Coturnix japonica: one gene and its partner. The protein of the gene in region 1 binds, or shares a complex with, the protein of each later gene. Links are inferred from orthologs where the notes say so. Each region holds a gene or a part of one and is shown in the gene's direction. Other genes may lie near its edges.

The links.
Region 2: the proteins of CAST (region 1) and CAPN2 are in contact, whole or in part, in a crystal structure (PDB 3BOW), measured with the Rattus norvegicus proteins. The link is inferred for Coturnix japonica from reciprocal best matches to the Homo sapiens genes CAST and CAPN2. Residues at the interface, in NP_445747.2 of Rattus norvegicus: Glu571, Leu572, Asp573, Ala575, Leu576, Asp577, Glu578, Leu579, Ser580, Ser582, Leu583, Gly584, Gln585, Arg586, Gln587, Pro588, Leu596, Asp597, Asp598, Lys599, Val600, Lys601, Glu602, Lys603, Ile604, Lys605, Ala606, Glu607, His608, Ser609; in NP_058812.1 of Rattus norvegicus: Glu62, Leu63, Ser68, Lys69, Gln99, Gly100, Ala101, Leu102, Gly103, Trp106, Lys161, Asp162, Leu165, Leu166, His169, Ser196, Gly197, Gly198, Thr200, Ser241, Asp243, Ile244, Thr245, Asp249, Ser250, Glu251, Ala252, Val253, Val259, Lys260.

Annotation. Positions count from the first base shown.
Region 1 is NC_029547.1:50,813,075-50,817,135, reverse strand, and holds the start of CAST (calpastatin), read left to right. Parts: upstream 1-1,261; 5' UTR 1,262-1,276; coding exon 1,277-1,486; intron 1,487-1,617; exon of another isoform or gene 1,618-1,810; coding exon of another isoform or gene 1,811-1,840; intron 1,841-4,061.
Region 2 is NC_029518.1:15,399,702-15,403,814, reverse strand, and holds the start of CAPN2 (calpain-2 catalytic subunit), read left to right. Parts: upstream 1-1,313; 5' UTR 1,314-1,409; coding exon 1,410-1,805; intron 1,806-1,922; coding exon 1,923-1,992; intron 1,993-4,113. UniProt on the Homo sapiens protein: Calcium-regulated non-lysosomal thiol-protease which catalyzes limited proteolysis of substrates involved in cytoskeletal remodeling and signal transduction. Proteolytically cleaves MYOC at 'Arg-226'.

The DNA of each region.
Region 1 (4,061 bases):
TGCTCCTCCCTGCAGCTATCCCATGCTGGAGGGCATCCACCACGCCTTCTAGGCCAGGCAGGGCTACCATGTTATGCACGGAGTGATGCAGGATGAGTTCTTCTGGAATATGTCCTTCTGTGTAGGTACACATGGTACACCTGAACAGGATTTCTGAGGGTCATTTCAAACCTCGTGCCTCATGCCTAACTTCCCACCAGAGAACTTAAAATTGACCTTGTGGTGGATCAGCAGAACCCTCAGCACTCTGCAGGATGCTGATCAGCATGAAGCTTTTCCTGTATTACTGCCTCATTTCTGTGTAACTCCAGGATTTCAGTCACTGACGGCTTCAGTTGCTGTCACAAGGCATGTGGCAATAGAAGGGGTGAAGCACACAAAGTTGCCTACGTGGAGTGCTGCGTCAGACAGGCCTTCTGCCTGCAGCTGAACGACTCTGTGCTGTTCTTCCCACCACAGTGAACTCGTGCTTAAAATTTTAGGCAGAGTGGAAAGCAAAACCCGTACGTGCTATTGAATCACTTCAAAGGCCAGTGATGAGTGCACCAAGTGCAGGAAGAGCAGGGAATGCCTCAGGCAGGGGATGTGCCTGACCTACCCAGCTTCTCTCCTGGAGGCTGAAGCCATTCTGAGGCCTCGCATACACCCACCCATCCAACAGCATCAACTGGGGCTGCTTCCCAGCGGCTGGCTTTGATCTGTGGCTGGGAAGGACTTTGTCCTCCTGCCTCAGGGAGTGTGGCTGGTAAGGGAAGGAGCATTCCCTGAAAACTTCTTGTTCCTCCTGTTGGTGTATGTGACCTCAGTACACACGTACGTGTCCAGAAACCAGTGCTGCTCTTATTAGCCTTATTACAGAGAATATCTGTTTTGATCGTGGTTACTCAGTCATGATTCAACTTCCAGCAGCTCTGTGTGACCACGACAACCTCTGCAGTATTTTGGAAGAGCTGTCATTACTGTTGTCAGTCAGGAGCTCAGTTCTGTGAGGACTCCACAGGTCGGGATATTTGGAAAGCTTTCTGACCACATATCCAGTGAGTGCTACTGACGGGAGCCTTAGCGCTGCGGGTCACGTATCAGTCCCGGGCTGAGGCCACGGGACGAGCAGTTTTGCGCTCAGGTCTGTCGGAATCCACAAGCCTTGCCAAAAGGCTGCGGAAAATAGGCCTTCCACGGGGGGAGACAGCAGTGAAACTGTCAGTAACTCCACTCGAAAGTTGGAAAGTGTCGACACTTCCCCCTCCCGCCCCCAAACCTTGACAACAGCCACACAATGCAAGCCGCTCCTGCATTGGAAGAACGAGCTGGGACGCCCTGCCCCGGTCCCCTCGGCCCCCCCCGGCCCGGCAGGAAGAGGAGGGACTGGCTGCGCGGCTCGGCAGCGTTCCTCGCTCCTCACCGCCGCCGGTCGCCCCCCGCCCGCAGCCGCTCCGTGCGCCATGTCCCAGCCGGGCTCGGGCCCCCCTGGCCCCGCCGCGGTAAGGTGGGCAGGGAGCGACGCGAACGCGGTGTGAGGCGGGCGGGGGGCACGGCAGCTGCACTGATGGACCCCGACCCTCCAGCTGCAATGCAGAGGAGCTGCCGAGCGGCAGCGTGAGCCCCCCCCCCCCCACCCCCTCGGCCAACCCCGACCTCCTGCCCGGACCGCAGCCCCGCCCGATGCGGGTCTCGGGGGCGGCTGGGGCGCGGTTCTGGCCGCTCCCTTGGCGGGTGCCGCCCCCGAAGGGAGGTGGCTGCTGGGGCGCGGCCCGTGCGTCTGTGTGCCCTGTATTGCCGTGCCGTGCAGTGCGGAGCAGCGAGCAGCACCATGGCTTTTGCACGCTGGTGGTATGCCACGGTAAATGTGAAATGCGGGGCTGCGGCTACGGATTGCGGAGGGCTCCGCACAGCGGCTGCGGGCGGGGTCGCCCGGCTGTGACACGAATGAGCGGGGAGGTGGGAGTGATGGGCGGCGGATGGGCGCTCTTCACGTGCTCGTGTTGTTGTGCGTCAGGTCCTGTGAAAGCCTGGCGTTTTCTGGATGTAGCTCCGAAATTCTGCTGTGTTCTTTGTTTAAGCGATGCTGGGACGTGGGCTCGTTTTGTGCTGACGGCTGTTTTCGTGATGCTCTGAATAATGCAAGCTCTAGAAGTGACTAAACTGTGCCATTCGATCAGAACTCAGCAATTGGTGATACGCAGTGTAAGGCAGAGCTTGCGGGGGTTTGTTTCTGCTTTGGGTGAAAATCCTGCGTTGTGCCTGTTTTTGGAAACGTGTGTTTAACTGCAGGTGGGTCGTGGAGCTGCCAGGAATAGTTTTGTCTCGCTGAACAGTCTCTGAGTAAACCTCAGCTCTCATGGCTCTCTGTGGTTCAGCTCAGCTTGGTTAATGCTCATTAGTCTGACAGGACCTGTAATTGCTTAGAAGTCGTCTGAATTATTAGTCATAGCAGGAAGCTGAAAAGTCTTTCAGAGGAGTGGCGAGAGGGAGCCTGCCCTCTGTTAAAGTTTTAGAGAAACTTTGTAAGAGGAGAGGCGTCTTTCAGAGAAATGACTGATTTAACATATTTCCTGAATAATTGCTGAGGTATATGGGATTCCCTCGATTTCTAATTGCACTTTCCATTGCTCAGAATAGCTCAGATGATGGATTAGTGGTGTTTTTGGAAGTAATTTGTTGTATTAAGCCAGTGATACGGCATGGTGACGATAATGCAGAGTCAGAAATAAGAAAGTTTGAGAACTGTTGCACTAAGTGATGATGGCCCTGTAGTCCTGGGCCATTGAATCCAGGGTTGGGAAAGATACTAAGACCACCTCGTTGCCCGCATTCACAGAGGGAAACCACTCCTCTTGAACTCTGTTGGAAAGCAATCTCTGCAGTTACTGGCACCAGCACATCTCTACTGGCCTTTGTGCAAGACCAGTGTCCTCGCCATCCATGTGAACATCTATCATTTACTGGGGCAGTTTCTTCCTGGAGGGCATCACGGTCTAATAGATGAGGGAGTGCAGCAGGAGAGAAGGAAGAAAGGAACAGGCATGAGAGATTCGGTGTTTTTTGTGTTAGGTGATGGTTTTTGTTGTTGCTGTTTCCCTAGGATATGTGCGCAAAGCATAATGCAAGGGCTGTAAGAAGAATCTGGCTTTCACCTATGCTCTCTCTGCACTTCCTTGACGCGTCTTTTATCTGTCAGTTCTTTGAGCAGCATCAAAAATCTCTGTCTTTTTCTCAATTTCGACTGAAATATGATGGTCAGATTCCTGTCAGTATAAAATGTTTGTCTTCATCATCATCAGCAGCAATGCAGTTAGTTGACTTAAGATGAGGCTGTTGCAGGCAGACTTCCCTTCTTACCCAGTTACTGAATGTTGTTGCTGACTGCTGAAATGCAGCATATTTGAACTGAGGGCCTGCTGCTGCTAGTGGAACTCCTGAGATTTAGAAAGAATGTCAAGGAGCAGGAGTTTCAGATGAAGTCTGATTTTTACAAGTGTAAGCTGAGGATGCAGTCGTACATTCTGTTATTAGTATTTTGAATCTGAAGGTAAATGTGCTGAAGCAATAGCGTCGAGATGTTTTTGTGCGTACGGAACAAATTGAAGATGATAAACTTTCTTGTTAATGATACTTTTACTGGGTGTTTTTTTTTTTCCCCCAGATGTTGTGATTGTGAGTGGTTTTGTTTGTTTTGTCTTTAGTGAAAAATATTTGCGGCCAATTTGATTTAAACAGGAAAGAGTTGAAAATAAGTTACGTTTTAAGTTTAACTAACTGAAAGTGTGTGCTGGCTCTTTTTGTGACATAGCTGGAGCTGCTTCAGCCATTGGTATGGGTATGTTGTTACCGTGTGCATACATTTCTTTGTCACTGTAAGAAAAGTGAGCAAGAAAAAGAGTAGAATGCCCAAAACAAAAGCAACCTCTCTCACCCACATGGGGACATAGAAGAGTGAGGCATGCATACCATCCCAGGAAAGCTCAGTTGAGTTTCTTGTTAAGCAAATTGATTAATTTATTTAAATCTGAAGACTCGGCACTTGGAAATGCAAAGCAAAAGGGAGCTGATGAAGGTTGATT
Region 2 (4,113 bases), on another chromosome or scaffold:
TACAGTGGGGCTGGCCCAGGGGATGAGGAGCTGGGAAGAGCATTTCACAAGATGGCTGAGACCTTGCCAATACCCCTCACTGCCTTGGCTGGGCTTCGTGCTGGTGAGGAAACCTCCAGCCCCAAAGGGGAAAGCAAATCCCTTTGTTGTGTAACACCACCAGTGCTGCCAGCCTTCTCCTTTAGGAAGCCATCTCCATCTGGGGATGCTCTTGGGGAGGAGAGCAGCACGGCCCCCTGCTCCACTCCCTGGACCATTGGGCAGACTTTATCTTCCATCCCCACAATATCTGTGTGTTGTGTAGGGCAGAAAGAGTATCAGGAAGGCAAATGAAAAGAGAATCATGGAATCATTTGGGTTGGAAGGGACCCCAAAGTTCATCTGGTCCAACTGCCCTGCAATGAATGGCAACAGCTACAGCTCAGTCAGGTTCTCAGAGCCCTGTCCAGCCTGACCTAGAGTGTTTCCAGGGATGGGGCACCCACCATCTCTCTGGGCAACTTGTGTCAGTGCCTCACCACTCTCATTTGTTAAGAACTTCTTCCTTATACCAAATCTAAATCTCCCATCTTTTGGTTTGAAACCATTTCCCCTTGTCCTATCACAACAGTCCCTGCTAATGAGTCTGTCTCCTTCTATCTTATAGCCCCCCTTTAGAAGGGAGACAGATGCTGTGAGGTGTGTGGAGAGGCCCTCTTTTCTAGGCTAGTGAAAACCACTGCTTTAAACTGACATTAGTTTCCTTCTGTTGTGGCTGTTGAAAATGAGGTTAGTCTGATCTGTGGCGGCTGTACAGCTCTGATCCACTGTGTGGAGCCAAACCAGTGCCTTTGGAGCAGCTCTGTGGTTACGTGGCTCCCCGCAGCTTACATTACAGGGCTAAGACGGTGTTAATGAAAGGTTTCTCCCACTGATCAGCTGAAAATGTTTTTATTGCTTTTATTGCACCCAGTGCTGCTCACACACGTTGTCTGCAGACCCTTCACCGTCTTTGTTGCTCACTTTTGGATGCCCTATGACACAGTGATGTCTGTCTTATGTTGTGGCATAAGACCCAGTGCAGGAGGAGAGGCCGTGCAGCTCAGAGCAGTGGGACAAGCCCTCCCCTCCATCCAGCTGGAGGCATCCAGGCTGTGACTGGCCTCTGGGGGCTCCAGGGCACACTAGGAGTTCAGTCTAAACTAGGAGTTCAGTCCAACAGGACGGCTCCAAACGAGCCCTACGTGCTCTCAGAGCCCGGGATCCGCTGCCCCAAAAGCGGTGCCTCCCCGTTCCGCCGTGCAGTGCAGTGAGTCAGCCACGAAGCACGGCACCAACAGCCCGAGCTCTCGCAGTGCGGACAGCCCTCCCGTAGCGATGCCAGCGGCGCCGGGGCAGGATAGGCGGCACGGGGGGCTCCGCACGGACAGATGCCATCCTCGGACACGTGCGGGGCTTTGCTTCCCTGCAACCCCACGAGGGATTTTTGGTCGGGATGGGCCTCGCCGTTCCCCTCCCACGACCCGCGGGGTGCGACACGCCCGGGGCGGCCCCGTGACGGAGAGGCGTGTCTGCGGGGCGGCGGGGCGATGGCGGGGATGGCGGCGGCGCTGGCGAAGGAGCGAGCGGCGGCGGCGGGTGCGGGGCGGCACGAGCAGGCGGTGCCGTACCTGGGGCAGAACTTCGGGGCGCTGCGCAGGGAGTGCCTGCAGGACGGCCGCCTCTTCCAGGACCCCTCCTTCCCCGCCTGCCCCGCCGCTCTCGGTTATCGCGAGCTGGGGCCCAACTCGTACAAAACGAAGGGCGTCGTCTGGCTTAGACCTACGGTAGGTGCCCAGCTCGGGGTGCCCGAGATGCGCGGTGCACTCCGGCTCCATCCCCGCCGTTGTGTCTCTCTCGGCTCCCTCCTCCTCCTCTCGTAACTCGGGCTCGTTCTGTTCCAGGAGCTGTGTTCCTCCCCCCGGTTCATCTCCGGCGGAGCCACGCGCACCGACATCTGCCAAGGAGCGCTGGGTAAGCGCTGCGCCGTGCGGGTTCGCACTGTGCTGTACCCTCCCTTTCCCATCGTTTCGCCCCGTGTCATGTTGGAGCAGGAAGGATGCGGGCAGGTTTTCCATTTCCCGATTGCTGCCTGCCTTTGTGCGCTCCTCAGCCTGACTCACGGTTGCCGTTAGCAGCACGGCAGCGCATAAAGGATGTGCATGTTTTGGAGCGGGCCCAGAGGAGGATGCTCAGAGAACTGGAGCCCCGTTGCCATAGCTGAGCAGTCAGATGTTCTCCTCAGGTTATGTGGTACCTCCAAAGAGTATGAACTGAGTCACAGCCTGTATTCCTTTCCCTACCGAAACAATATTTGAATAGGAGGCTGTTAGCATTCAGGTTTGTTCTCAGCATGACTAACTGCTGCTGTGACTGGCCTCCCTATCTTCTTACCAATCTGTGTGAGGGAGTTGTCTTCTCTGTATCTTACTGATGAACTAATTCAATGCTATGGGGTTTTCCTCTGTAGCCGCTGAGTTACTAAGACCCTGCTTTGAATCTATGTTCTTTCTCACAGATGTTCTATGTAAATGCTTCTTTTCTTTGCTTTTGCCTCTTCTGACACTCAGCTTTGCACTGAGAGATTTACCTAAGCTTCCATTTACTTGAACTTCACTTGCTAACACTGATGTCACATCATGTTTTGTGAGGTTCCAAAGAACATTGCACTAGAATACATCAGGTGCTCTTGGAAATCTGCATTTTATATTACTGTATTGCTGTTTGTCCATAGAAAACTAGTGGCCTATTTATCACCCAAAAAGCTTGATCAGAAAGCAACAGGCCTGTGCCCACGCAGAGTTTTACAACTGGTGCTCACCCATTTGGAGTATCTTAGAGTACGTATCCAAAGCACATGCACCTGTCACTGCTGGGACACACTTCTTGGCATGAATCTCTAGCACAGAAAAGCTCACTGGGTTCTCAGGACAACAAAGCTCTTCCCTTTTGGCTTTGGGTTAGCCATTATTCTGCTTTACAATTGTTATTCAGAAGCTTTTTAGGACAAGTATTCAGAATCAATTTTGCAGTATCAGGTCTGCAGTTAATTATGGGCTTTGGTCCAGAGCTGCAGCAAATGGGATGTGGTGATTCATCACAGCAGAAGAACCAAAGCAAATACAGAGGAAGTTATTCACCCTTAACCACATTCTTTGGAGGGATGTCACCATGGTATCACAACACTGAGGTGTACAGGGCGCAGTATCTTTTATACGCTGTTTAATCACAGATGTATCCTCCTTGAATACAGAGTTGTGGAAAAGTGATAAAGTGAGTAGGATGAATGTAGAAAATGAGATGCATGGTTTTCCCACGCTGAAAACCACTCTGTTATGAGTGAGTTGGCACAGCCTCTTGTCTCCAACCAGAAAATTTCTGGGGGGGTCCCACATTATTAATATAAATACATTCAGCCACTGACATAGTTGGTTAGCCCAGCCTGGCTGTCAGCCCTTTCAAATATTCCCTATACAGAACCTATACAAGCCTGAGATGCCAGACCTGCTTTGTGCACATCTGCAAAGCCTTGCAGGGAGGGGGGATGTGTGTCAGCACTGCTCAGATGGGCAGGCTGTGGGCAGTCCAGCAGGGATGGAAAGGGAAGGGTGGGTGCTCTGTGGGACAGCGAGCTTCCTGCACACCCCTGCCACCATGACCAGCTTCTGAGAGAGAATCTTTGTTTTACTGTGTTGGTTTAGTTGGCTGCTTATAAAGTCTGGAAATGAAAGCTCACATACGGCCAAACCAAATGTACAGTCCTACAGATAAACTCAGTCTTTTGACTCTGTGATCAATGATAGGTTATTTGGCCTATGTGCTGATGCCTGATAACCCACCAGCCTGTGATTTTTGCACGTCTCATGCCTGATGCTAGTGTTAAGGGTGCTTTGAGATTGTTTGTTAGAAATTAAACATGACCCTAGTGGTCTTTTCCTACCATAATGATTCTATGATTCTCCTAAGGAGGAGTTCTGAAATGCCATTTCTTCCTATGGGTTGCAGGAGTCAGGGGGTCGCTGGGTCCTTACATCTGTAACCACTTAGTTAATGAGCTTAACTGGAAAGTGACCACTCTGTTAAAACAACATTTGT